Rattus norvegicus: one gene and its partners. The protein of the gene in region 1 interacts with the protein of each later gene in a pairwise test. Links are inferred from orthologs where the notes say so. Each region holds a gene or a part of one and is shown in the gene's direction. Other genes may lie near its edges.

Region 1 (4,211 bases):
AGGCAGTCTAGTTGAATCAGAAAGTTCCAGGTTTAGTTTAAGATTCAAAGTAATAAAGGAAGACACAGACGTTGACCTCTGACCTCTACACTCATCTACGACTCCACCTGTAGGCAGAAACCACACCTTTTTTGTCTGCTCATGCACACAGACACACCACACACCCGCATACAAACACTGAAGCCAAAGGTGGTCAGCTCCTCCTGCTGAGTGAAAACCAGGTGATGGCTTAGCAGTTTTCCTCAGACTTAACCAGACCCTAGCTAGTGGATAATGCAAAGCTAGCTGAAGAGCCACTTCTAGTCACTCCTCTAGGGCTTGACAAGTTTCCTCCCCTTTCCTGTCAATCTTTTGTTTTTATAGCTGTGTCTTGGGCTACATTTCATTCTTTCCTGTACTGATTTTCCCAGTCCTATACAGACTGCATCCTTTTCTAAAGTGTTCTGACTTCCTTCCAGTTTTTTAGCAGGCTCTTTGTCCTTGAATGCTTTGTTGCTCACATTAAATGATCTATGAAACAAGTTAGGTCAGCTTTGTGATTGACTGGCAGAGTCCTACTGTCTCCAGTGGTAATGCGGTGATTCCCAATCTTTCAACAAGCTGGCCTCAATGTTTGTTTGTTTGTTTTTTAATTATTTATTATGTATATATCATACAGCTCTCTGCCTGCATGTATGCCTGCAGACCAGAAGAGGGCACCAGATCTCATTACAGATGGTTGTGAGCCACCATGTGGTTGCTGGGAATTGAACTCAGGACCTCTAGAAGAGTAGACAGTGTTTTTAACCCCTGAGCCATCTCTCTGAGCCTGGCCTCATGATTTTTTAACTCCCTGAGCCCGGCCTCAATGTTTTTTAACACGACCCTCTCCCACATGCCTACAAACCGGCTTGCTTTTTACCCACCCACTGTACTTCATCAGTTATGCTTGCTCGTCCTTCTAAACAACAGGAACCGCGGCAGGGCTTTGAAGTCTACATCTATTTTCCTGGGTCAGGTGATCGGGTGCTCCCCCTGGGAAAAGCAAGCACAGGCAATGCCCCAAACCCTTACGACACAGCATAACCTCTCTAGGTTTCTTAAACTTTTTGTACTCTTCTCTTACTATGCCCGGTCCTCCAGATAAATTCTCAGCTCTCAGATTGTCTTGATCTCTGAGCACAATATGTGACAACAGGAGTTTTTTTGTCCAGACATCTCTTTCTAGATATTAGATGCGTACGTCCTATGAGACATACTCACGTTTTATGTATTTTCACAATCACAGCTTTGTAAATGTATTTCTAAGCTAAAAGCACGGGGGCCGATACTAAAATTGGCCTTCGCAGGCCACCATCTTGGGTCACTAGACGCAGAACCACCCGCTGCAGCCGTTTCCGGTTCGAGTGCTGGAGCTACTACGTGCGGAAGTGCAAGGGGGAGGTCGAGCGTCGCCATGGGTGCTCCGTTCCACTCCGCACAGCGTGCAGTAAAGAAGTGGCTCTGAAGGTCGGTTGAGAGTACCGGCCTGCGCTTCTGGAAGCGCTGAACGACTCTGAAGTCGAGGGCGAACGCTTGGCTACTCTCAGAAACCCGGGCGGCGGGCGCGAAAAACCCTTACCCACAGAGCGCGCGTCGGCTTCCTCCGGGCCCCGCCCTTCTTCCGGGTCACGTGACGCACGGCGCTCTCATACCCCGTATGTAGGTGAGTCCATTCGCTGCTGTAGGGGGCGGGACGAACGTCGATTTATTGTGACGTGCGCGCGTTCCCGGTCAGAGGAACGGCGGGCAGGCCCCGGGGCGCGCTCTGCCGGGGGCGCGCTCCGTAACCGACCGCATGCCCCTAAGACGGGCGAGCTGCGGCTTGTTGTGCGTTTGCGGCCCTGGCCACCGTGGTGCCGCTAACCTTCTGGCCGCATGGCCCGGGGCCGCAGTTCGTTGCGGCCCACCTACCGCGGGGGCCTCCACTGCACGCCCACTGCTGTCCGGCCGCTGCGTCCCTGGGTTCCTCCGTCTCCTCCCTATGGGGCTCTGAGCTGACCGGCCAGGTGCTACGGCCAGCGGGAGGGCGGGTTGCTTCGCTCCCGGGGAGGAACCCTGCTGCTACGGGTGTAGGACCAGGCCTTAGCATTAGCCACTCAGCGTGAAGTCCGCAGGGTTCCCTCGTAATGTTCGTAGGAAAGGTGCGGGAACCCCTGATGCAGGCGAATTGCGGAACGCTTTCAAGTCGAGTGAAAGTTTTGAAAGAGCAGTTCGATAACAACGCTTTACGCGGAGACACTTGACCGTGAATGGATTGATTGGAAAGGGCTTTTGTACTTCACAGAATCGTGGGGTTACAGAGTTTTCATTTATAAACTGTACACTTATTGCTCAAAGCGATCCCCTTTCTCTCCAACTAGCACCGGCTCTCCTTTGTTGCTCTGGTCGACCAGGCTGGCCTCATTGTAGATGGACCTACCTCTGCCTGCTAGTTAAGGATCTGCACCACCTCGCCTGGCTTTTTGAGTTCTCTTTCTTGAGGCCAATTTAGAGTTTTAAAATGTATTACTTTATTAAAGCAGGGTAGGTGCTCTTTGTACAATTCTTCGAACATTTGCATTTATTTTGTATTTATATTTTGTAAGTCAAAGATCAATGGCTTTAATTATCTAACTATTTACACCTACTCTTAAAGGCTGTAGCTTAGTGATACGATGAAACGAATTATCTTCGTTTCATTCATGAATTATATTCATTCATTGGAATGCAGCGCCATTTTTAGGTAATTTTTGTCCCTGCTTCTTGTCTTTCACTGTGCCGTCCTCAGCGATCAGTTAAGGAGGTTGTCAAACTAAAATGGGTTAGAGATTTATAAACAGATGCATGTCCCTTTAGAATGTGTATCTGCTGATGCTGTTTCCTCCTGTGGGGAGGTAGGGGACAGTTCCTTAGGCCTTCCTGTCCTGTGTAGTGGCTGATGGTGACAGCATTAGTCCACACTATCATAGCTAACATAGTTAAGGTACTCTCCATGCCAAAGGCTAGATTTGCTTTTTTAAGTTTTACAAAATCACGGTGCTATCTTTATATCAGTACAAATTTATAACAAATACACAATATCAATATCCAATGGGTTCAGGGTTTTTCAGCTACTCCATATGTGCTTGAAATTGAAATACTGTGCTTGGACCAGATTTCCTGCAGAGAACTGTCTGTTGCCTTCGATTGCTAGGCCTTTAAAGCCCTCTAATCTATAGCATTTTCTTACCTCCATTTATCATTCAGATTTAACTGATTGTATATATTTTTGACTATGTTCCTCTACTCTTCTATGACCTCTCCTCCACTGGCTAAATCTTGAATTACACTGTCCAGTGTGGCAGTCATCAGCCAGTCCTGATATTTTAAATGAAATAAAAGTTTGGTTCCTCAATTGCGTTAGCCACATTTGATATACCCAGCGTTCACAGGTTGCCTAGTGGCTACTGTTTGATCAATACAGATAAAATGTTTCCATAATTACAGAAAGTTCTGTTGAAATACAATGATCTTTTGAAATAGTGTTAGATTCAACCTTGATTTTTGATTGGAGGTATAAGAAAAACGTAATAGTTATAGGCTTTATATTATGAAAATTATCGGTTGCATTCATTATCAGGGAGACTTGTAATGTCTGAGTCATCCCACTTGGGATGTTGAGATTAAGCTGTGTATGTAGTGGTTCCTATGCTGTCTGCTCAGTTGATCCACCATGAAATTGCCCAGGAGCCCTTTGGTCAATAGAGAGATTTAACATGGCTAATAGTGCCCAGGTCTGTTACTGCAGGACAGCCACGGTCATGCGCCCAGTGCACTCTTATCTGACTATCCTGAATACAGCTTATCCAGGAATAGCAAGAAAATGCTTAACTCTGTTCCTTTCCTTTCAGACTACAGCAATGAATTGGTGGCCTAGCAACCTCCAAAGGTAACCCAAGGGCTCTACCTTAAAACAGATAAACTTGAATGTGTTTAAATCTGTAGTTTAGCAACCTCCAAAAGTAACCCAAGGGCGTTACCTTAAAAACAAACCAACAAACCAACAAACCAATAGACTTTAATGTGTTTAAATTGTTTGAACATATAACAATTTTTTTTTAAAAAGGATTATTTATTTTAGGTGAGTATATCGTAGTTGTCTTCAGACACACCAGAAGAGGGCAGATGGTTGTGAGCCACCATGTGGTTGCTGGGAATTGAACTCAGGACAT
Region 2 (3,980 bases), on another chromosome or scaffold:
TCGCCTGGAACGTCACATAAAGGCTTCTCTTTGTCACCAAGAAACAAAATCTCAAGCATAAAAGCATATTGGGACAAAATTCTGTCCCAATGGAAAGTGATTAGGAAGTAAAAAGAAACTCTGTAAAATTGCCATGAGTGGATTTCTGAGGTAGTTTCTTTATGCAACTCTCACTTCTGTACCAACAGTGCCTGCAGGTCTGACAGCTCAGGCTTTGTACTGAAATAGAGTTTTGGACTCGCTTGGTGTTGATGGTCTGGGTCTCTACATAGCATGCTGGAACTCACTAGACCAGGCTGGCCTCCCGACTCAGAGATCCACCTGCTTCTGCTCCACAAGGTCTGGGTTTAAGAGTGAGCACCAGCTTTTGGACTTTTTACTTAGAAGGGATTCTCCTGTTACTCAGGCTCCAAGAAAGGGCTTCACTTCCTTACCAGGCCATCTAAAAGAATGTGTGAGTACCCATGTGCACACATTCATTCTTAGTGTGTACCTCCTAGGAATACCTTTTTGCCTGGGTTTTAAAATCATTTGGTCCCTACATGCCACTATATAGTGTAGGTGCTGCTCTATTTGCTAGTTTCATAGGATCAATGAAAACTTAAAACACAGAAGGAACATTGAAATTTAAATCTCTGGAGACAGTTCCAGATGCAGAGTTGTGGAGTGGGAAGGTCTGTTTATGGGCTCTGTCAGGTCCTCTGTAGACAACATCGTGGTTGGTGTCTGAAAGTCTCGATGGCAGCTCAGTGTGGTGGTGCACACCTGTATTGCTAGCATCAGGGGGGCAGAAGCAGGGGGTCATTGTAAGTTGGGCCACTTTGTCAATGGTAAAGTCTGCTCTAATTAAACCATCGCTCTCGTTGGGCAGGATAGCTTATAAGCAGCCGAGCCTGAGAGCTGGACCCAGACCTGGAGTAGATTCCATGCCTTCCTAGTTTTTACACTTTTTTTTTTTTTTTTTTTTTTGGTTCTTTTTTTCGGAGCTGGGGACCGAACCCAGGGCCTTGCGCTTCCTAGGCAAGCGCTCTACCACTGAGCTAAATCCCCAACCCCTACACTTTTTTTTTTTTAAGATTTATTCATTTATTATATATAAGTACACTGTAGCTGTCTTCAGACACACTAGAAGAGGGCATCAGATCCCATTACAGATGGTTGTGAGCCACCATGTGGTTGCTGGGAATTGAACTCAGGACCTCTGGAAGAGCAGTCAGTGCTCTTACCCGCTGAGCCATCTCTCCAGCCCTAGTTTTTACACTTTTATATTTTAGATAATACTATCTCTTAGAAAGCTGAAGATTAAGATGATTTCAACTACTTTGTATTTTCTTTGTGTGCAGAGGGGTGGGATTTAGCAGATGGTGCTGTTTGTACTGTCTCCTGGGGTGGTTTTTGTAACTTTGTGTTTTTATACAGAGAAGTGCTCCATTGTTTTTTTTTTTTTTTTTTTTTTTTTGGTTCTTTTTTTTTTCCGGAGCTGGGGACCAAACCCAGGGCCTTGCGCTTCCTAGGTAAGCGCTCTACCACTGAGCTAAATCCCCAGCCCCGTGCTCCATTGTTAACAGAAATATTCTTACTGTTATTGCTTTGCCATCTTTCATGAGGTTTAAGAATAAAACAATGTCTTTTGTGATCCAGAATTAGAAAGATGCATGTGCTTAGTTTAATTTACAGTGAGCAGCAGTTTTCCTATCTCAGGCTTTGAGATAGGAATGCCTAGGTTCCTATAAGGATTCCTTCTATATGATTAGAACACTTGTAGCCCAGATTGGCCTCAAACTCGTAACTCTTCTGCCTTAGCCTCCCAAGTGCTGGGATCACCAGGGCTATGCATAGTAAGTTTGAGGCCAGCCTAGCTTACACAGTGAGATGCTCTCAAGCAAAAGGAAAGAAAGAGGCTCTGGTTAACAGACAGTACTCAGTGCTGTCCTTGCCTCGTAATCTTTTCTTTTAACTGAAATAGTCCATTTCTAGGTGGGATAACTGTTTGGTGTACTTAGGGCTGGTATTTTTCTGTTAGTTTCATTACTTTTTGCTTATTCCTTTCATAGGTTCCTTTCAGATTAAGTATTTTTTTTTGTATACTATAATCAGATAATGGGCTGGGCATGATAGCCCACACTTTTTTTTTTTAAGATTTATTTAAAAAAATATAAATACACTGTAGCTGTCTTCAGACACCAGAAGATGGTGACAGATCTCATTACAGATGGTTGTGAGCCACCATGTGTGGGTGCTGGGATATAAACTCAGGACCTCTGGAAGAGCAGTCAGTGCTCTTTTTTTTTTTTTTTTGTTCTTTTTTTTCAGAGCTGGGGACCGAACCCAGGGCCTTGCGCTTCCTAGGTAAGCGCTCTACCACTGAGCTAAATCCCCAGCCCCGCAGTCAGTGCTCTTAACCACTGGGTCATCTTTCCAGTCCAATTAAGTATTTTCTTATAATCCCATTTTTATTCCTATGTTTTTGTCTGGTTATACCTTTTTGCATGTTTCAAAGATTATTTTCAGAATTGTAATTTTCATCTTTAATTTGTATTACCATCAATTGAGAGGTGAGGTACTAGGCTGGGTATAACTTAGTGCTTGCTTCCTGTGATGGAGACTTGGACCTCCGTCCAGCACTGCAAAGAAAACGTCAGAGAGAGCTTCTTTGTAATGGTGCTTCCTGACCCTCATGCCCATAACGGGTGTTGTGGAAGGAGAGAACTGCCTGCCTGTATCACACATGCCATAGCACCTGCAGATCTACCCACGGACACAGCAGATCTACCCACAGGCCCTGCAGATCTACCACAATCCCACGCCCTCCTCACATAATAGTAAATAAACCTTGACACTTAGTGTGCTGCTTCAATGAGCTGTAGAAACCTTGTAGCAAATGTAACCTTTGCATTTATGTAACACCTTGATGCTGTTTTATTTAAAGAAACCACCAGCTGTGTATATATGGTGTGTGTACACATATATACAGGGATTTTTTTCCAGCAGCAGTGAGAGGTTTTAAACAATTTTAGTGACGTTTTCATGTATGTATTACATATGATATATGTGTATTATATATACATGTATATATATATATATCAATGTATCACACACACATATCATTGTTCTCTGCTTGTTTTTTGAATTTGTTTTTTATTTTGAGACAAGGTTTCTCTGTATAGCTCTGCTGTGTGGTAACTTAGGCTAGCCTGGACTAAGTTTCTCATTAGAAGCTGTGGCAGGCATTTGCAGTTTGGGCTGAGTAAGATTTGAGCTGATTTAGTCATCTGTAGATGTAGCCATCTTTAGATGGCTTCTGTTAGGATGAGACCCATAGTCAAGGGATGACAAAGCCGCTGTGGTAACATGCTTAGAATTCCAGTGCTTATGGTGCTGAGGCAGGAGGACTGGGTTTAGGCCAGCTGGGGCACACAGGAAGATCCTTTTTGAGAAGTGGAGTGTGGCGGTGGGGTCGGCATCTTTAAATAGACTAGGGCAGATAACTCGAGCCAGAGTGACTTCCCGGGCTGGCCACAGTACCAGAAGTAGTGAGCCTGCGTCAGAGTCTGCCAAAGGGGAGCATCCTTCTTATGTACTAGTGCTGTCGTCCGTGACTGAGAGAGATGACAGGAGATAGGAACAGATATGGTTGTTTAATGTATGTCTGCATTTAAATTAATGAGGATATTTATCAAAACAGATGCCATAGGCCTCGTTCTAGACTTGCATAGTCAATATCTGAGTATGTGGTCCAGGAGTGTGCCTTTCAGATGACCTCCATGCTGGTCTTGAGCACAGTGATACTTAACAGTAGCCACTACCAGGCGCTTCCCTGCTCTGCCCACCTTTTGTGAACCAGAATCATGTTTATCTGTGAAGCCATGTGAGACTCTGATGAAACAGTTTGGTCATAGTCATAGAATTCTAGAGCCTGCATAAAGGTGCCTGACAAGCTCAGCTGCAGCCTGACATCATGAAGGGGAGAACTGAGGGCA
Region 3 (4,231 bases), on another chromosome or scaffold:
GCCCTGACCAGCTGTTAGAGACTGCCTCATGTGAGGGCTGGCACTGGCTCTGTGCATCCAACAGTGGCATTAGTAACAGGAGGGACATGGAATTTAAAGACTGTTTCTCTGCTGTCCTTGGCAGTTTAACAGGAGCGGGCTGCTTATACCCCTATAGGAACAATATTGGTTTCTGTATACTTGACCATTTTGAGAAAAGGGAGTGTCTTATGGCCATGGAATAGGGCATTTGAGTCTTACAGGTAGCCCGAAGCTTCATTGGATTTCTCACAGCATGGATCACCTCCAGACAGCTCTTTCAGGAGCCAGCACATTGTTTGTTTGTTTGAGATGGTTTCTGTGTAGCTCTGTGTCCTGGAACTCATTTTGCAGAACAGGCTGGCCTCGAACTCAAGAGATCTGCCAGCCTCTGCCTCCTGAGATTAAAGGTGTGCTCTACCATTGCCTGGCTTTTTTTTTTTTTTCTTTTCTTTTTCCCTTTTCCTTTTTCTTTTGAGACAAGTTCTGATATAGCCCATGCTGACTTGAATTCACTATGAATCCAAGGGGAAACTCTAGAACTCCTGATCCTCCTCCCACCTGCTGAGTGCTGGGATTACAGGCATGATTACCACTCCTGGTTTATAAAGTGCAGGGATTAAACCCAGAGCTTCTGTGCATGCTACTCAAAGCATTCTACAAGTGCTGTGATTAAAGGCATGCACCACCATACCCGGCTGAAGCCAACACTTTTTGCTAGGCAGGCTGAAGGAACAGCCTGGGTGTACTCGCACCATTCTTAGCTTCCTGCTTTTAATTGTTTACCTTTGGGAGATGGAGGCTCTAGAGACAAGGACCTCAGCCCTGGTGGCAATGAGACCCCCCTTTTAGATTCTGGCTGATGGGTATAGCAGTTCCCAGGGTCTGGGTCTCATTGTAGTGTGTCTGACCAAAGCTCCCCAGTTCGCTGCGCTCGGGACTGAAGCTCAGGCCATTGCCTGGCTAGTGGAAAAAAGAGCCTCTCTGGATTCTGGGTTCCGAGCTCCACAGTCGCCTTCCCGGTGACTCCAGGTGTAGTGTGGCTTTATGCAGGGAAATTTCTTCTCTTTCTTTCCCCTTTCCAACCCTTCCTTCCTTCCGGGTCTCCCCAACTCCTCTGCCCACCCCCTCACCACTTTTCTGTCGCCGTTGCCGCGCTCACTCTCGGCTCAGCTCCGCCCCTCATCTGGCAGCCTGCCTCGCCCACCGATCCTCTTGCTTGGCTTTTTCACTCAGAGGAGCTTTCTTCGGCCGGGAAGGGGCGGGGCCTCATCGGCGGGGCGGAGAGTCTTAATAAACTAGCAGAGGCAGGGCACGCCCACGACCAAACGTTGAGAAAGAGGACGACGCATCCGCTTGTCAATTCTGCAGGTCTGGCGTGGCCTCGCCTCCGCCGGCATGACGTCACGGGACGCACTCGCCGCGAGGGTTGCCGGGACGGGCCCAAGATGGCTGGGAGCTTTGGTTCCGCTTCGGTCTACCTCGTAGAGCCCCATTCATTACCTTGCTGCTAAGTGGCGCTGCGTAGTGCGAATAGGCTCCAAGCCTTCAGGGTCTGTCCTGTCGGGCAGGAGGCCGTCATGGCAACCCTGGAAAAACTGATGAAGGCTTTCGAGTCGCTCAAGTCGTTCCAGCAGCAACAGCAGCAGCAGCAGCCGCCGCCGCAGGCGCCGCCACCACCGCCGCCGCCGCCGCCTCAACCCCCTCAGCCGCCGCCTCAGGGGCAGCCGCCGCCACCACCGCCGCTGCCAGGTCCGGCCGAGGAGCCGCTGCACCGACCGTGAGTCCGGGCGCCGCAGCTCCCGCCCGGGGCCCGCGCCCCTGGCCTGCGTGCTGGGCATGGCCAACGCGGTCCCCTGTCCAGAGGGTCGCGGTACCTCCCTGAGGCCAGGCCTTCCCGGCCCGGGCCCTTGCCTTGAGGGGTCTTTGGCCTTCCCCAGAGGAGACAGCCTGGTCAGGCCAGCGAGGGACTCGCTGAGGAGCGTCACGGCTCCAGTGCCTTCACGGTTCCCAGTTTGCGAAGTTAGGGAACGAACTTGTTTCTCTCTTCGGGGGAAACTGGGGCGGTGGCGCACTTGACTGTTGTGAAGAGAACTTGGAGAGGCAGAGATCTCTTGGGTTACCTCCTCATCAGGCCTGGGAGCCGGGAGTGCAGGACAGCGTGAGAGATGTGCGGATAGTGGATGACATAATGCTTTTAGGAGGTCTCGGCGGGAGTGCTGAGGGCGGGGGAGTGTGAACGCATCCAATGGGATATTCTTTTTCCAAGTGACACTTGAAGCAGCCTGTGACTTGAGGCACTTCATACTCTCCTGGCGTTTTCGTTTAGTTCATGGTGCAGTGTAGTTAACAAGGTTTTAAGCATCGCTGGAGAGGTGTGCTTCTGTATGCTCTGTTGGTCTGCAGGCAGTTGGATGAGTTGTATTTGTCAAGTACACGGTGAATTACTTATGTGTGATTATTAATACAAATTATACGTGTATGTGCATATATATGAAAGAGTGGACTGATATTTATTGCCTATCTATTTTCTGTTGTATATAAAATGGATACATTGGTATTGTGCAGTTTACACCCGGGAGTGTTGCAGTCAAGCTTGTTTTAGAACATGGACCACTCAGACTCTGTGTAGATATCTCGTGTACCAGTAAAAGTTCCTGTTTAGTTCTTTACTGACATCTTATAGATCTTTGGAAGCTCACTGCTTGTGACTGGAGAGAATATTGAAACAGAAGACAGATCATGAGTCACAATGCTCTAAGAGAAAAGAGATGCTCAAGATATTTCCTGGAAGTCCATGCTGGGTGTTCAGCCCCGTGATTTCTTGAGCTCAGGTCTTTCTCTCAACTCTGGGCATTTTATTTCTAATCTGAACTTGTATAATTAATAAGGAGAACTTTCAGGAAACAACCTACTAAAGAAGGACATTAAAACTCATTAGAAAACAAGTGTTCTAATGATACCACTGAGCTTATTCCAAGCTCATTTTTACTAATTTTTTTTTTTTTTGTTTTTGTGTTTCTGATAGCATCCCTTCCCTGTTCTGAGTTTACTTTTAAAAGATAAAGATTTGGGGAGAAATGTTGTCTTATTTGTAGAACAAAATATATGAATAAATTTATCTTCTATAAGGTGAAAATTGTGAATAGAAAACCTCTTATCTCTAGATAAGTAATTTCTTTTTGCTTTCGAGACAGTCTCACTATGTAACTCCTGTAACTTATGGAGATCTATCCTCCTGCCTCTGCCTCCTCAGTGCTGGGATTAAAGGCATGTGGCACCATGCTTGACTGTTCAAATATTTTTTTAGTTAGTTGTTTAGATTATTACCATGACTCTGCCTCTCTTGGTGGTAGGAATTGTGGAAGTTTACATATTTCCCACATATTCTGTAAACTTGTGTGTGTGTGTGTGTGTGTGTGTGTGTGTGTGTGTGTCTTTGTCAGAGAGAGTGTTCTGTACCCGCTTCAAACACAAATTAGTTTGTTTTTGCATAAGTAATTAAGTAATTCATTAAACATGATACAGTCCCATAGATAAAAAAGGCTAAATAATGAAAACATCTCCCTTCCCGTTTCCTAACTCTGTACCAAGGAGCAAGCTCTGTTACACTTCATTTGTCCTTCCAGATAAAATTTGGGCATATGTTAGGGCAGGCTTTTTAAATTCTTTATAAGCAAAAGTGTTTTGGAACAAAAGCTTTTAAAAGCTTAAACAACCCCTTGTTACCACACTGTACATCACCAACTGTAACATTTTCCAAAGTCAGCTCCATTAGTGTATATTTTATATTTCTATGTACTTTGCTGTGAAAAACCAAATGCTCATTAATAATAAGTAACAAACTCACTGCTTGGAAGCTTTGATTTTGGCATTCTGTTCACTCACTCCGCTTAAAAGTCCTTTTTTCAAAGTGAGACCAGCCAAAACAGTTTTAGAATGAATCTGTTCTATTTTTATGACTCTCATTGTGTTCCATAGAACCAGTGTCACAGCCATGCGTGGGCTTCTGTTGAAATAGCCGAGAACTTGTTCTCTGCTCAGCTGGCTGCATTGGGTCCGATAGGCCTTAAGCAGTTGACATTCACCTTTAATAGACCTCATTAGGTTTCCTGATCGTAGTCATTCATTTATCAATATTTGCTGATCATCTCCTGTGTGCCCAGACTTATTCTAGTTCCAGGTTTTAGCAGGGAACAAAGTTATGACCTCA
Region 4 (3,500 bases), on another chromosome or scaffold:
CTTTTCCTGAAATAGAATCTTTTTGCATAGCCCTGGTTGTCCTGGGACTCTCTATGTAGACAAGGCTGGCTTTAAATTTCTCAGAGATCTGCTTCTTTTTATCCTTTTTCTTTTAACATAAGATATTTTTCAGGGTCATTATATAATTTAAAACATTAAAAATTCAGTATTGAAAAAGGATTTCATAGTGGTAGTTTAAAAAAAATCTGAGGTGTAGTAGTGCATGCCTTTAATCCAGGTACTCTGAAAGCAAAGACAATTGGATCTTTGTAAGTTTGAGGCCAGCCTCATCTACATAGAGAACTCCAGGCCTACCAGAACTACATAGTGAGACTTTGTTTAAACAAAATAATAATTAAAAAAAATATAAAACTTAAAATCTTCATTGGTTTTTCGTAGTAATCTGTGACATATGCAATACACACACACACACACATATATATATACATATATATCTCATATACATATATATATATATATATATACACATGAGAAGTTGTTTAGGAATATTTTGTGTTATTTAGTTTCACTATGAGTTCTACTTTGTGTCCTCTTTTTTTTTTTTTAAAGATTTATTTATTTATTGTATATGAGTACACTTTAGCTCTCTTCAGACACACCAGAAGAGGGCATTGGATCCCATTTACAGATGGTTGTGAGCTACCATGTGGTTGCTGGGATTTGAACTCAGGACCTCTAGAAGAGCAATCAGTGCTTTTAACCACTGAGCCATCTCTCCAGCCCTTTTTTTTTTTTTTTATTTAAAGACATTATTTTATGTGTGTATGTGCATGCCACTTATGTGCAGGTGTCTGCAGAGGCCAGAAGAGGGTGTTAGATCCCCTGAAGCTAGAGTTAGAGGCATCTGTCTGACATGGATTAGGAACTGAACTTGTCTAGCGGAAAAGCCGTCTCCAGCTCTCACTGCTCAATTTCTTTCTGCCTTTGGGCATAATATTGTTCTCTGAGAGGTTATAGCAGTTTAAAATTATTTTTTTAAAAATTATGTTTACTGTGTGTATGCGTGTGTGCGTGCCACTGTACAGATGTGGAAGTCAGAGGATATCTCGTAGGGTTTGTTTCTCAGTCTACCATGTCTGTCTTGGGGATGGAGCTCAGGCTGTCAGGCTTGGTAACAAATGCCTTAAGCTACTAAGCCATCTCACTATCCCACATTTTTAAATTCTAGGGAAGTTCACATTTTTTTCCAGAGATAAACATTTTTAGAATAGAAGCTTGTTTTGAGAAACTGTAACTTAGGAGGAATGTCTTACAGTGTTTTGGTTGGGACTTGAGCCAGGATATAGTTGCTCTCTCTAATGAGGATTCCTGCTTTTGTTTGCAACATTTTGCAGATTTAAGGCAAGAGCTAGCAGTTCGGGAACGGCAACAGGAAGTGACCCGAAAGTCTGCTCCCAGCTCTCCAACTCTGGACTGTGAGAAGATGGATTCTGCCGTCCAGGCTTCGCTCTCCTTGCCTGCAACGCCTGTGGGGAAAGGCACAGAAAACAGTTTTCCTTCACCAAAAGGTTTGTATTTTCTCTTTCAGCCATGTTAGATGATGGGTTTGAAATGCATTTGCTGATGTAGGGAAGCTGCTACAGTTAAATGATGAACAAGTTACTTTAGTATCCAGGAAACAAAGGTAGAATTGTTTTTCTAGGTCACTGTGAGATGAAGTCTGCACTCAACACAAGAGCAGCTTAAGTAAAATTCTTAAAGTTAAAAGTTACTTATTTGGGTTGGGGATTTAGCTCAGTGGTAGAGCGCTTGCCTAGGAAGCGCAAGGCCCTGGGTTCGGTCCCCAGCTCCGAAAAAGTTACTTATTTCTATGTTTTCCAAGACAGGGTCTCTCTCTGAGTAGTTCTGGCTCCTGGAACTCACTCTGTAGACCAGGCCGGCTTCTAACTCAAGAGATTCCGTGCCTCCACCTCCTGAGTGCTGGGGTTATGGAGTGCCACCATGCCCCGCAAGTTAAAAAGTTAAAAGTTTTAAAAGCTTATTTTGGTTATTGTGATATATGTTCGTGCAGATTTCTCTGTCTGTCTAATTTGTCTGTTTTGGGCCTGGGGATTGAACCCAGAGCTCTGTATGTGCTTGGCTAAGGCACTGACACTGAGCTATAATTTCAGTTCCATGTAGAGAATTTGAAAGTACAAGAAGATCAAGTTTTACAGAGGATTTTTCTTTGAGTTATTCCTTACACATTTCTTTGCTACCATAGATTGGTGTTTAGTTTTTTTTTTGTTTTTGTTTTTTTTTTTTTTTGGTTCTTTTTTTCGGAGCTGGGGACCGAACCCAGGGCCTTGCGCTTCCTAGGTAAGCGCTCTACCACTGAGCTAAATCCCCAGCCCCTGGTGTTTAGTTTTGAGGTGTAGTCTCATCAAGCCTAGGCTGTCCTGAAGATGACCTTTGAATTAATTCCTGATCTTTGCGCCTCTCCCTCCCATGTTCTGGGATTACAGGCATGTGCCATCACACCCAGTCTCTCATGTTAAGTTTTTTGATCCTACCTAAATAATTATTTCTCGCTTTTGCCATTTAGTATGTCATAGAAAAACAGGATACAGATATGAAGAGAATCTTTAAGTTACTATTTGGATTGCTATATGGTTGGCTCAGAACATTCTGTTGGATAGGTCTTGAACTACGCACTAAGGTAACATTCAGGGGAACTGGTAAGATTCACCTGTTGTCAGTCAGTGTTTGTTATGTGCACATAAGAGGTAAAGCAGTCTGTAACCAGTCTTAGAGCCTTGCAGTGCAATCCCAGAGCTTTCCAGTTCCAGCTTGTTTAGGTAGTCTGCAGTTCGTATCCCAGCTTCCTCCACTCGCCCTTTTTTCACCCTCAACAGACGCTGTCTCCTCTTGCCCTTCTTAAAATACATTTTATTCTCTAGAGTGAGAGGAGGTTCTCTGGGCAATTAGGACAGCATTTCCTGTATTTGTGCTGCTCAAGTAGCCACAAGTGACTGTTAAACTTTATATTAATTTAAATGAATGAAAGGGATTCAATTTCCTTTATCAGTCACATTTCATTATTGAGAATATTATCATGCTGATTACTGGCTTGGCACAGTATTTCTTTTATATGTGTGTGGTTTTTTAGATTTATTTGTTTCATATATGTGAGTACATTGTAGGTGTACTCATCTAGTCAGTGCTCTTAACCACTGAGCCATCTCTCCAGCCCCTGCACAGTATTTCTCTTCTCTTTGTCTTGCCTTGCTTTTCCTTTTTTTTTTTTTTCTCTTGAGATATGGTTTCACTTTGTAGTCCTGTCTACCCTGGTACTCTGTCTCTGTCTCCCCCCCCCCCCCCCCGCCCCCCCAACACACACAAGGCTGGCCTCAACCTCACAAAGATTCCCTGCCTATAACTGTACCCAGTTTGGCGTATTCTTTTATTTTTTTCAATTGCAAGTAATTTTTTTATACAACATTCTGATCCTGTTTTCCCTCCCTCATCCCTTCCCAGACCCTTCCTTCCTCTTCACCCTT
Region 5 (3,977 bases), on another chromosome or scaffold:
AGTATGAAAGCGGAGGATCATTAGAGAGCAGTGTAGAGAGGGCGGGCGGGGGAGACCCCGGGACCTCGCGACGACCTTGCCATCTCTCTGGCTGCTCCTTGCGCGCTTGGTCCGGCCGAGGGACCCAGCCGGGCTTGTCCTATAACCCCGCGCCTCCCGGGTGGTGGGAAGGGGACGTCCTGGGGACCGGTCGCGTTGGGGGCGGGGACGCTGGGGCCCAGTCCCTCTCCGCGCCGCCTGTGGGTGCCGAAGAATTTCAGGACGCTCCCTGAGTCATCCCGGTGAAGTGCCTGGGTGAGGTAGGGTGGGTGGGGGCATCAAGAATGGGAAGGCGGTGCGCTGGGGCCGGTGGCGCGGTGGGTTGTGCCAGTTTCTGGAGGCGGCGGCAGCGGCCTCGCCTCTGACCGCAACCCCAGCTACTTAATGATGCCCCTGGCGCAGCGGCGCCTCCGTGGACTTAAGCTTCTCGAACATGGGCTCTTTAAAGAACTCGACCCCCCCCCCCCCCGTGTGGCCTTCACAAAAATTTCTTAAAGATGGAGACTTTGCAAAACTTTGGGTCAGAGGCTCGTGGCCCCAGCTCTTAACATTAAATCCTTTAAAGTTGCGGTAATAGATCAGGCATCTTGGAGAGCGAGGGAGGCCAGCGGCCTATATTGTGTAGTCCCCTCCACTCAGCACAAGGAAAGTCCTCCTGAGCGCTGGGTTTATCCCTCCCCTCTCTTAGTGGGTGGCCAGGTGCCAGGCACTGTTCCAGGCGCTTGGGGAGGCGGCTTTGAGGCTCAGATATGGCAGGCGGAGAGGAGTGTTGTAAGCCACTCCTCTCTACTCTTGGGAGATGAGTGGCCCGCGAAGCCTCGAAGAGGTCCCCCTCGACTGTCCAGCCCGGGTCGCCAGGAGCGCGGGGGCGGCACCTACCCGGCGGGCTGTGACCGCGCTGGGTGCTCCGGGCGGTCCGTCGGTGCGCGCGCGTGCGCTTGCGGCTGAAACCCGACACCTCCCGCCGGCTGAGGTCAGGGCGCCGGGAGCGAGCCGGGGCCGGGGAGTGGGCGGCGTTGCGCTTGGGTGTGTCCTCAGCGGCGACAGCAGCAGGTGTTTCTTGGCCCAGGCCCCGGAAGCTCCACCTCCCCGAGCGGCCGAGCCGCCGCCGCACAGCCCCGGGTGAGATAAGCAGTTCAGACAAACCCGGGCGACGGTGGCTCCGGCATGTGTCAGGCGCGGCGGAGCAGCGGGGCCCTGGCATGAAAGGTGAGCGCGCGGGTAGGGGGGTGACGGGGGTTCCCTCGCTCTTCCCCTACCCAAGTTTGTGGGCTCGGGAGGGGCGCCAACGGCCGGTGCCAGGTCCCGCGGGTGCGAGGTACGAGAAGCGCGGGGCGCGCGGCCGACCTGAAGCCACACTCGCGGCTGCGCGCGCGCGCTGGGCGCAGCGAGCTCTGCGACCGCGGAAGTGCGCGGGGAAGTGTGCGGGGGCGGCTCCGGGGCTCGGGGTTGAAGCAAAACTTTGGATGGGGCGGGGGTGCCCAGGCAGGTGGTTGGATCGGTGTGGGGGACGCCTTGCCTGGGATGGCAGTTCAGGGGGCCTCCGCGACCCCGCCCGGCCCTTCCCGCTCCGCCTGGATGCGCCTCCCCGCCCCCCGCGGCCGCGCTGACGGCGAGTGGCCCGCCCGAGTGGAGCCGATTCAATTATATTGCAGCACCAGAGACACCTCGTCGCCCGCCGCCTCTCCGGCAGGCTAATTAAATTCCCTTCTTGGAGGCGGAGCGGGAGCTGGGCTGCCCTCCCCGCTGCCCGCCTCTCCGAGCGCAGGGAGGTGGAGGGGGCCGCTTAGGACTGCGAGGAGCAGGCTAGGGGCCGCAGATCTGGGTATCGGAGCCCGGAGCGAGCGAGGGGCGCCCCCGCGCACCTGCCACTCGTGGTGGGGGTGCCAGCTCGAGTTGGGTCGGTTTGGTGCTTGCAAACCAGCCTTTGTCTCCATGCGTTTAAAGCACACTAAACCCTTGCTAGACCCCTGCAGTGTCTTATCTGTCGCGGTTGGGGCCCACACAGGTTGGGGTTTGAAAACAAAAAGCGGGACCACCAAATGGAGGGGGGGCAAAATACAAGATCCTTTTGTAAAGGGGGCCGGAACAAAAGGCGCAGCCTCACTCTAGGAGGGAGCATCGGGCCTAAGCCGATTTCCAGCAAAGGGGACAAAGGCAGGAGGTCTTGGCTGGGCGCTTGGCAGTGTCTCAGTCTCTTGCCTGAGACTGTTTTACCCCCTCTTCCCTAGGAAGACAGGGCCCCCCCTGGCGAGCAGCCTTCCCTGGGCGTCCGTGTTACTTAAGCTTGGCTACTTAAGTGTTGCTCAGCCTGTGTTTACAGCCGCCCCCACCCGCAGGCGGGGAACCTGAGGCGCAGGCTGTGTCTGACTCAGCCGCTCAGTCGCCCCGCCACAGGTGAGGGGGGCCGGGGCACAGGCTCCGACTGGCAGCGTGTGTCATCTGCTGTGCTGGGTGTCACGCCCCACCGGGTGGACCGGAACAGGGTTGCTGGCAGGCTCACCCGATCGGGTTCTGCTGTGCAGAAGCAGCTTGCTCAACACTTCTCACAGGCACCGGGTCACGCCTGACCACCTCCTGGGGGGTGCCTTGATGGCTTGGTACAAGGTTGGCTTTTGTCGCCTGGTCTGGCAGCAGGAGCGGAGGAGGCTGGGGGAGGGGGGAGGCGCTGGTGAGCAGCCAGCCAGAGACCCGGGGTCAGCCCCGCCTTCGGAAAGGAGGTGGGAGGCCTGTCCTAGCTTTGGGCTCTGTTCTGCCTGCCTTAGGGCAGGTTCTGAACCAGGAAGGCTAGGAGGCCAGATCAGGCCCTGACCTGTTGGGGGCAGTTATTAGGATCCTGACCGGTTAGGGTTGAAAGGGGGTGTATATATATAGTTCCTTTAAACTTAACATTTTAAAATTACTAGGAGCCAAGCCTTGTCAGGCCCCCTAACCTTGGGGATGACCTGGGGCAATTCTGTTTTTAATGGGGTCGGAATGTCAGGAAGGTTCCGAAAAAGCTTGACCCTTTGGAAGCCTCTGTTGCTCTTGGCAGAGCTGGCAGGCAGGCAGGCCTCTGGCTGTGAGTAACTTCCCTGTCTCTCTGGAGGAAGTTGGAAGCTGCAGATCTCAAAGGGCTGTGTGGTTTGCAGAAAGGCAGCCACCTCAGGACTCTGCACCTCTAGCCAGAGGAAGGGGGAAGAAGAGGTCTGCGCCTCTTTGTGGTGGACCAGGGGCCTGCACCTCCTCCAGGCCCTCCATCAGCCCCAGCCCGCTGAGTCCCCAGCTGGCCTTGACCCTTCAGGCAGGTGTGGTCTATTTCCCTGCCGTGGAGGAGGTCTAGCCTTGGCTCCCTGCTGGTTCCCCCCCTCCCCTTCCTAGAGACTCACTGTGTAATAATAGCCAGTTGCCACTTTTCCCCCTTGCCCCCAGGAACCCGCAGGGGCTTGTGGAGTGAGCCAGCAAGGCCGGTTTTTCCTGGCCCCATCTGCAGCCTTGGAATGCCCAGCCTGGGTTACTCCAATGCCTGGTGGGGTTGGATAGGAGCCTTCTGGTGGGGGGAGCACGTTAATTACCCGTGTTGTGGCAACAGCCACAATCCCTCTATGAGGCCTAGCCCACGTCTTTCCCTCTCCCTCCCTCTCCTGGGATCTCGGGTCGAGAGAGCATGTTTAACCTGCAGAGAACCTCGTCTGAGGTGACATTTCAGCCTGGTGGCTGTGCGGCAGACCTGCCGACTCACTTTAATTTCTGCCCCCATGGAGTCTCAGATCTCCTCGGCCTGGCCAAGTGCAGCCCGCCAGTACTGTGCTGGCTTCACTTCCCACGCTGGCCTTTCTCCCCCCGCCCCCAGGCACACAGGCCACAGCCTGGGAGGTGACGCTTCTGAGTGTTCCTGTCAATGAGAATTTATCGAGCGCCTCCTGAACCCAGCCTCGCGTTCGCTCGCTGCTGGGAGG
Region 6 (3,500 bases), on another chromosome or scaffold:
CAGTAGGTCACAAAACCAAAAGTCATGAATGTGAGGGAAAGATTTGTGGAGAGGGGTGCATTGAGAGGGGAGGAGATGAGAGGATTGTGGGAGTATAATCAGAATACATTGTATGTATGTATGAAATTGACCAAGAGAAAAAAATTAATTGAAAAAAGAAAAAATAGTAACATAAAATAGTGCTTAGCTGAGCTCATAGAACTAAGTTATAAACTTTAATCATTGTACTACATTTTAGAGATTAAGTCTCCCTAACAACCTGTACTTCTAATATAAAAATACTAATTCAATCTTAGTTAATTCAATGTAGTTGAATTCAATCTTTTGTTATCAGTCTAGCTTTTCTCTTCAGTTGGCATCCATAACTGTGCTTTCCTAGAGTTTATCCCAGTCACTTGTGGTCGTTTACCATAACATTTAAGTGGTGTAGCACAATTTACTTTATATAGACATGAAGCTTAGGTTAACAACACAACCACTGGGTGGAGTGATGAGTGGCGTGGCAGATATCACACACATCAGATGCTGCCAGTACAAGCCGGGGTCTGTGCTCCCATGCCCTTAGGAGGCAGAGGCCGAGAGTGTTGGGAGGTCAAGGTCATCTTCAACTACCAAGCAAGTTTGAGGCCAGCCAAGGCTCCATGAGATCCTTCCTCAAAACACCAAACTAATAAACCTAGCTTCTCCTTTATTGCTTTTGAGGTTCCAGAAAATTATAAGGAATTGCTTGCTGGGGCTGCTCCCTCAAAATAGTGAGGCAGTCATATAATCATTATGTGATTTATTTTTACATGATTTTCTGAAACTACAAGACATGGTTAAATGCTCATTTTTATGTGTCTGCAGGTTGGTATCATGAGAGACCGTCTGGTTCAGTTCCTTACTAAGGTGCAGTTTGCTGTGACTGTACTTTTGGCATCATGGACGGAGAAGAAGCAGCATAGAAAACTGACGACAACTTTGTGTGTTCTCAACGCCATATTTGCTCCCCTTGTGCTGATTATTATAGTTGTCTCAACAGTGCTGTCCTCTCCTCTACTGCCTCTCTTCACACTGCCTGTTTTCTTGGTGGGGTTCCCTCGTCCAGTTCAGAGCTGGCCAGGAGCAGTGGGCACTGCAGCTTGTGTGTGCACAGACACGGTGTTCTACCAGCAGATGGTCCCCAGGCTGACTTCAGCACTGCAGACTGCAATGGCCGCTGGAAGTTTAGGTGAGTGGTAAGCTGTGCTTAAAAACTTCTTTCTGATATATTTGAGGTAAAAGAAAAGGAGGGAGGGAGGGAGGGAGGGAGGGAGGGAGGGAGAAAACAAAACAGAAGATCCCTTTGATCCAACCATAAAACAGATTCTAGTACTTTGATGTATAACCAGAGACTAAATATGAAATAGAATTATATCTCTACTGCTTACTTGGAGATAAAATGATAATAAAAATACTTAAGGAAAATTTCCCCAGAGTGAATTGGCCATTTAAAAAGGAAAACTTTTTTTGTAATAAATTCAATTGGCAGGCTCACCATTGAAACAAAACCTTTCTGCCTTTCTGCTCATGCTTCTTAGGAACTTAAAATGAATTTCTGTCAAGTCAATACAGTGGGTTCTACCTGTAAAAGGAAAGCAGCTGCTGGTGTGGATCACCCTGCCTAGTACATCCCAGTACGGAGACCTTTAAAGGAAAGCAGGCATACAAACATGTGCAAATACTGAGGGCCAGTAGAGATTCACCAGGCGCCCACTTGGGGAATCAATCTCTTGTAGGCATTTCAGTGGGTAGTGTCCAGCCCTGCTGAGCTAACCCATCATGGCCACATGTTGAATAAGGACACAGACACACACAGACACACACACACAGAGAGAGAGAGAGAGAGAGAGAGAGAGAGAGAGAGAGAGAGAGAGAGAGATGCGCTATTTCTAAGAGCAAAAGAACTAGAAATACCTAAATTGTTTCCCAGCCAGAAAAAGAATGCTCAAAACCTCCTACAGTCACAGTGAATTCTAACGACTTGAGTGACCGGGAGCTGGAGGCAGTCAACATGAGCAAGGCTTATAGGTCCTATGTTGAAAGAGAGACCCAAGTTTTAAAAGCATACATCGCAAATTGATGTAAACTATATAAACATCTCAAAACCATAACACACTGTTCTATGTTTATCGTTTAGATCAGCGTGAGGCCGGCTTCATGCATTGTAGTCTTCCCTAGTAGGCTTCATGCATATTGAGCATTTTATTCAATAGTCTCCACTTGGTGGTTTTGCTGACAAACATAGCCTCAACTTTTCTGTATTCTGCCTTTATGATAACCCTTCCAAATGTTCACAAAGAGCTTGACTTAATGGCATGCAGTGAGTACTCATTTCTATTCTTTTGTTGTTGTTGTTGTTATTTTATTTATTTACATTTCAAATGTTATCCCCCTTCCCAGTTTCCCCTCCATGAGCCCTCATCCCCTCCTCCCTCCCACCGACCTCTATAAGTGTGTCATCCCCCAACCCCCGTGCTCCTGCCCCAGTGGCCTAGCATTCCCCTATCCTGGGTTATCAAGCCTCCATAGGACCAAGCGGCTCCTCTCCAGTGATGCCAGATAAGGCATCTTTGCTATCTATGCAGCTGGAGCCATGGGTATCCTCTTGTACTCTTTGGTTGGGGTTTAGTCCCTGGGAGCTTTAGGGGGTCTGGTTGGTTGACATTGTTGTTCTTCCTATGAGGTTGCAAACCCCTTCAGCTTCTTCAGTCCTTGGCCTAACTTCCCCATTGGGGTCCCTGCTCTCAGTCCAATGTTTGACTGCGTATATCTGCATCTGTATTGTTCCAGCTCTGGCAGACCCTCTCAGGGGACAGCTATACAGGGCTCCTGTCAGTAAGCACTTCATGGCATCAGCAATAGTGTCTGGGTTTGGTGTCTGCAGATGGGATGGATCCCTAGATTGGGCAGTCTCTGGATGGCCTTTCCTTCAGTTTCGGCTCCACTCTTTGTCCCTGCATTTTCTTTTGATAGGAGAAATTCTGGATTAATATTTTTGAGATGAGTGGCCCCATCCCTCAACTGGGGGCTGTGCCTATCCACTGGATAAGCTCTCTGCAGGTTCTATCTCCCCTTTGTTGGGTATTTTAGCTAAAGTCCTCCCTATTGGGTCCTGGGAACCTCTTGGGTCCCTGGCATCTGGCATTTTCTAGTGGCTACCACCAGTTCCCCATCCCCACTGCTACACACCGACTTTCAAATTCCTGACCCTCTGTCCTTCTCCCTCATCTCCTCCCATAACTGAACTGGCCCCCCTTTTTCCCTCCCAGATTCCTCACTCCCTCTACTTCCAAGAGATTACTCCCTTCCCCCTACTGAGTAGCACTGTAGAATATACACTTCTGTGTGATGTTCTTTCTTCTTGGGTTTCATATGGTCTGTGAGTTGTATTGTGGGTATTCCGGGCTTCTTTTGGATAATATCCACTGATCAGTGAGTACATACGATGTGTGCTCTTTTCTGTCTGGGTTACCTCACTC
Region 7 (4,061 bases), on another chromosome or scaffold:
GTCATGGATTCACTTCTGAAATCTTATTTCTCAGAAAACATTATATATATTACATATATATAATATTATATATCACATATATATAATATTATATATCACATAGAACATATACATAGAATATCTCAAACAATATAAAAACATTTGCAGATATGTATGCGATCTTCATGTTGTATTAAAATTGTAGTCATCAAAGCTCAAGATTCCAACTTGTGTACAGCGCATTGCTAGAAATACTGTCTCATCATCATCGTCGTCATCATCATCAGGATTGCTGGAGAATCAAATTCAGCGCCTCACATGAACTGAGCAAACATTGTACTCCTATGCTGCAACCTTACCTCATAGTCTATATTAAAACTAATGTCACAGCAATTGGAGTAGCACATGCTTGTAGGATATGTTGAAGAGTTCAGGACCAGCCTGAGGTACAAATTTTAAAATCGAGTCATAAGAAGTGGAAAGCCAAGTGTGGTTGACCAGTTACTGAGTACTTCTTACATGGAGCCAGAGTTGACAACTTCCCTCTACTGAAAATTGTTTCAGTACCATCGACACTACATGTCTCAGATTAAACGAGTCTACTAGGGTGCCTGGCACTTTTGTGGATGTTCAATAAACTTGAGTTGAAGCAGAATAAATACCACCCATGGATAAATGCTGCACAGACCCAACAGTGGTGGTTCAAGTATCACAGGCTGGCCAGTGTTTCAAAGCCCAAAAAAGCCTGTCCTTACAAAAGGACAGCTTAGGTTAACTGTTTCCGCGATAGCTTCCTTTTTAAGTAGCTATACGCTGAATACAACACATAAACGACACGTAAACAGTGATCAGGAAGAGGGACTAATCTAAAGGAATTTGAGCAACTCTGGCCAGGAAAGAAGTTTGCTGCTACTGAAATGTTTTGGTCTTAGCCACTGGCAGGATTGATTGATTGTAGTTCGCACAGCGTTTTGTGTGTAGCCTGCCTAAACATCTGTTTTTCTATAACTGTTGCTCAATTCTCTTTTCCTTTCGAATGACCATCTTTGAAGCACGAAAGAAAATCCATCCAAACGACCAAACAAATTATCCTAACGGCTTCTAAATCCTTTAAAGGAGAATCTGAGCTTAAAGAGGGTCTTTTACTCCCCCGCCCCTTACCTCCAGCATGGGTTCAAACTACAATTCCTAGGCTTTGTCCAAGTCCCTCCCTTTACCCAGTCATCTAATGAATATGTAAATTAAACATAATTGGCAGCCAATGGCGTGGGTTCTGGTCACATGGTGCTGATGGTAGGTGAGCAGACAGAAGTTGTGTCAGTGAACAGAGAGGGCTCTCAGTCTGGGGCAAGCGCTCTAGTGAGCGTGGACGGATGCTTAGGCAGTAGTCCTGGCAGCGGCAGCAGCGGCGGGCAGTAGTGGTGGCAGAAGAGGGGAAGAGAGACGGCCCGGAGACCTACACACACTCACACTTTCAAGTTCCCTTGGAGGGAGAGGAGTTGGGGCTGCAGAAAGAGGCCGGGAGCGGTCCCATCTATCCCATCCCGTTTCCCCCCTTTTCCTCTTGCTCCCTGGCTCTGTGAGAGTTCAGGATTTGGGTAGCCATACGTGGCATTGAGGGCAAAGGGGCCGGGAAAGTGGGGACCAGAACCAGAGGTGTAGTGGAAGATGCCCATCCTGCTGTTCCTCATAGATACGTCCGCCTCCATGAACCAGCGCACTGACCTGGGCACCTCCTATTTGGACATTGCCAAAGGCGCTGTGGAGTTATTCTTGAAGGTAAAAGGAGGGGAAAGGAGATGAGGGGGTCGCTCCTGCGGGATGGGGTGGTGGTGGACTGAGGTGCTTCTGTAACGTTTGTATCGCTTCCTCTCCTTTCCTACGCTTTCCTACGCGACCCCTCCGTCATCCCTCGCCCCGCAGCTGCGCGCCCGGGACCCGGCCAGCCGCGGAGACAGGTACATGCTGGTCACCTACGACGAGCCTCCCTACTGCATCAAGGTAAACAGGCCAGCGGGGGAGCGGTGGGCGGGAAGAGCGTGCGCGTCCACTAGCCTGGGGCTGCTGATCCCTTTTGCCTCCACCCGTGGCGATCCTGCGTCGCCCTGCAGGACGGGCTGGAGTGCGGGACGCCGAAGGGCGGGAGGAGCGGGGCGGGTGGCGGCGGCCGGGGGTCGCAGAGAGAGGCCCGGAGATGAGCAGTCCGTGCAGAGAAGGCACGGGAGGGCCGAGCTCCTAGCACGGCGGCAGCAATCGACTCCGAAGATGGCGGACATTTTGCTTTTGTATGAGGCAGCCAGAGGCAGGGTGAGGGCGCTGCTGAGATGGAAAGGAGGGAGGGGAGGAGGCCGAGGAAGGAGGGCTCAAGGCCCTTGGTGAGGCTGCGGTCCCTTCGCCCGGGACTCCGCCCCGATGTGCTCCTAGCCCGGCGCGGGCTTTGCTGCCGCCTGGGCTCCTCCTCTGGTCCCTCCTTCCATCCCTCGGCCCGCCCCGCCTGGGCTTCCTCTCCCTCCTCCCTCTCCGGTCCGCTTCTCCTTCACCGCATCTTCCCCTCCTCTTCCTGCCAAACGCGGGGCTGCACTAGCGCTGGCCTCCCAGAGCCGCTCCTTTGCATTCGAGGCCCTGGCCCCCGCCCCTCTCGTGCCACCACCCGCTCGGAATTGCTTAGCCTACGCTGCTCCCAGCTCCCAGACCCTGCGCGCTCTGTCAGGTTGAGCCCTGCTCTGCTCGCAGTTACCTTAGCGACAGTTGCTGTTTCATTGGAAATTCCTGCGAAGCAACCACAGAGTGTTTGGGGGAGGGGAGGGGCGCGCGCGGGAGGGGGGGGGTGCCCGAGCAAAACCTTCTTAGGGAACTGGTTTAACAGGGGCCAGAGTATTTTAGGGAGCAGGCCTACCTATTTGCATCCGAAATTAGGTTTGCTCTTAGCCGCATAGGGATTTGCCAAGGGGACGATTGGACTCTGAGCAGATGCACTAGACCAAGTCAATGATTTGATTCTCAGGGTCTGACCCTTAGCCTCCGTGGGGTAGTTATTTGTGTTCCCATGGTAAAGAGATAAAGAACTGGTTCGCCTGCAGTGGGTAGATAAGAGGAACTCAAACTGTTAAATCATCCCGCCTAAGAATCGTGCTTGCCTGTTGAAATATTAGAAGGTCGTTACCATTACCCTTGATGTCTTTCACTACTGCGTCATCCATCTGGCCCCCCTCATCCCCTCGCGGGATAACTTATCTATCTCAGTAAATTAACTGGAGGTTCAGCCTGGACGTGTTGTAAGCCCTGGTTTAATGAGTTGTTCCCTCTCAAAGTAAGTTGCCTAGTGTTCTTTCAGACAATGAAAGCGAAGATACTGATTTGGTAACTCTCTGCTTTGATTAAAAGTTGAAGTTGTAGGATTTTCCTAATACTATTTTGGTTTCAACTCGTTTATTTTCATTTTTTTTATTTATCTGCTAAAAAAAATTCGAGCCACTACATATCTTGCAAATATCGAATATTTTTAGAAATGCCAGTTTTCCAGGCCAGCCTGGACTAACATATTGAGAATCTAGAGCTGGAGACATAAATTTCAGTAATGGAGCATTTACAAATATGAAGCTTTGCAAAAATTCTATTCTCATCGTAGAAAAATAAAATACGACCCAGAGCCTGAATGTTTGCACACTTCGACTATTACTAACAGTAAGAGCCTACCTTTTGTGGTGTGCTCATTTGAAGATGCATCAGTTAATTTGAAGCAGTCGAGGGGATAAACTACAAAAACAGTTCTTATCTATCGTTTTATTTAAAGGCACAGCATTTTTGCAAGGAATGCTGGTAGTTCCTAAAATAGTTTGTTTTTTTTTTTTTTTGAGTTATAGGAATTACCGGACAGCCTGCTGTGGAGGTCTTTAATCAGCGTGCCTTTAATCCCCAGCACACGGAAGGCAGAGTGAGATGGACCTTTATGAGTTTGAGGCCAGCCTGGTCTACATAGCAAGTTCTAGGACAGCCAGGGTTCTATAGTGAGACACTTTCTCAGAAAAAAGAAAAGAAGAGAAAAGAAAAAAAAAAGAAAAATAAAGAGAAAGAATCACATG

The links.
Region 2: the proteins of Cep63 (region 1) and Ppp4r1 interact in a two-hybrid assay, tested with the Homo sapiens proteins (2 studies listed by BioGRID and IntAct). The link is inferred for Rattus norvegicus from reciprocal best matches to the Homo sapiens genes CEP63 and PPP4R1.
Region 3: the proteins of Cep63 (region 1) and Htt interact in binary tests that used the Homo sapiens proteins (3 or more experiments, as listed by UniProt). The link is inferred for Rattus norvegicus from reciprocal best matches to the Homo sapiens genes CEP63 and HTT.
Region 4: the proteins of Cep63 (region 1) and Ndel1 interact in a two-hybrid assay, tested with the Homo sapiens proteins (2 studies listed by BioGRID and IntAct). The link is inferred for Rattus norvegicus from reciprocal best matches to the Homo sapiens genes CEP63 and NDEL1.
Region 5: the proteins of Cep63 (region 1) and Gse1 interact in a two-hybrid assay, tested with the Homo sapiens proteins (2 studies listed by BioGRID and IntAct). The link is inferred for Rattus norvegicus from reciprocal best matches to the Homo sapiens genes CEP63 and GSE1.
Region 6: the proteins of Cep63 (region 1) and Pcnx4 interact in a two-hybrid assay, tested with the Homo sapiens proteins (2 studies listed by BioGRID and IntAct). The link is inferred for Rattus norvegicus from reciprocal best matches to the Homo sapiens genes CEP63 and PCNX4.
Region 7: the proteins of Cep63 (region 1) and Ints6l interact in a two-hybrid assay, tested with the Homo sapiens proteins (2 studies listed by BioGRID and IntAct). The link is inferred for Rattus norvegicus from reciprocal best matches to the Homo sapiens genes CEP63 and INTS6L.

What each region holds. Positions count from the first base shown.
Region 1 is NC_086026.1:112,081,847-112,086,057, reverse strand, and holds the start of Cep63 (centrosomal protein of 63 kDa), read left to right. Parts: upstream 1-1,411; 5' UTR 1,412-1,684; intron 1,685-1,796; exon of another isoform or gene 1,797-2,027; intron 2,028-2,395; exon of another isoform or gene 2,396-2,544; intron 2,545-3,890; exon of another isoform or gene 3,891-3,899; coding exon of another isoform or gene 3,900-3,928; intron 3,929-4,211. UniProt on the Homo sapiens protein: Required for normal spindle assembly.
Region 2 is NC_086027.1:112,851,767-112,855,746, forward strand, and holds the start of Ppp4r1 (serine/threonine-protein phosphatase 4 regulatory subunit 1), read left to right. Parts: upstream 1-1,180; 5' UTR 1,181-3,980. UniProt on the Homo sapiens protein: Regulatory subunit of serine/threonine-protein phosphatase 4. May play a role in regulation of cell division in renal glomeruli. The PPP4C-PPP4R1 PP4 complex may play a role in dephosphorylation and regulation of HDAC3.
Region 3 is NC_086032.1:80,216,869-80,221,099, reverse strand, and holds the start of Htt (huntingtin), read left to right. Parts: upstream 1-1,431; 5' UTR 1,432-1,598; coding exon 1,599-1,798; intron 1,799-4,231.
Region 4 is NC_086028.1:54,041,536-54,045,035, reverse strand, and holds part of Ndel1 (nuclear distribution protein nudE-like 1), read left to right. Parts: intron 1-1,355; coding exon 1,356-1,529; intron 1,530-3,500. UniProt on the Homo sapiens protein: Required for organization of the cellular microtubule array and microtubule anchoring at the centrosome. May regulate microtubule organization at least in part by targeting the microtubule severing protein KATNA1 to the centrosome.
Region 5 is NC_086037.1:65,493,483-65,497,459, forward strand, and holds the start of Gse1 (Gse1 coiled-coil protein), read left to right. Parts: upstream 1-1,177; 5' UTR 1,178-1,241; coding exon 1,242-1,248; intron 1,249-3,977.
Region 6 is NC_086024.1:96,888,460-96,891,959, forward strand, and holds part of Pcnx4 (pecanex-like protein 4), read left to right. Parts: intron 1-846; coding exon 847-1,210; intron 1,211-3,500.
Region 7 is NC_086039.1:139,294,230-139,298,290, forward strand, and holds the start of Ints6l (integrator complex subunit 6-like), read left to right. Parts: upstream 1-1,261; 5' UTR 1,262-1,647; coding exon 1,648-1,758; intron 1,759-1,902; coding exon 1,903-1,980; intron 1,981-3,842; exon of another isoform or gene 3,843-4,061.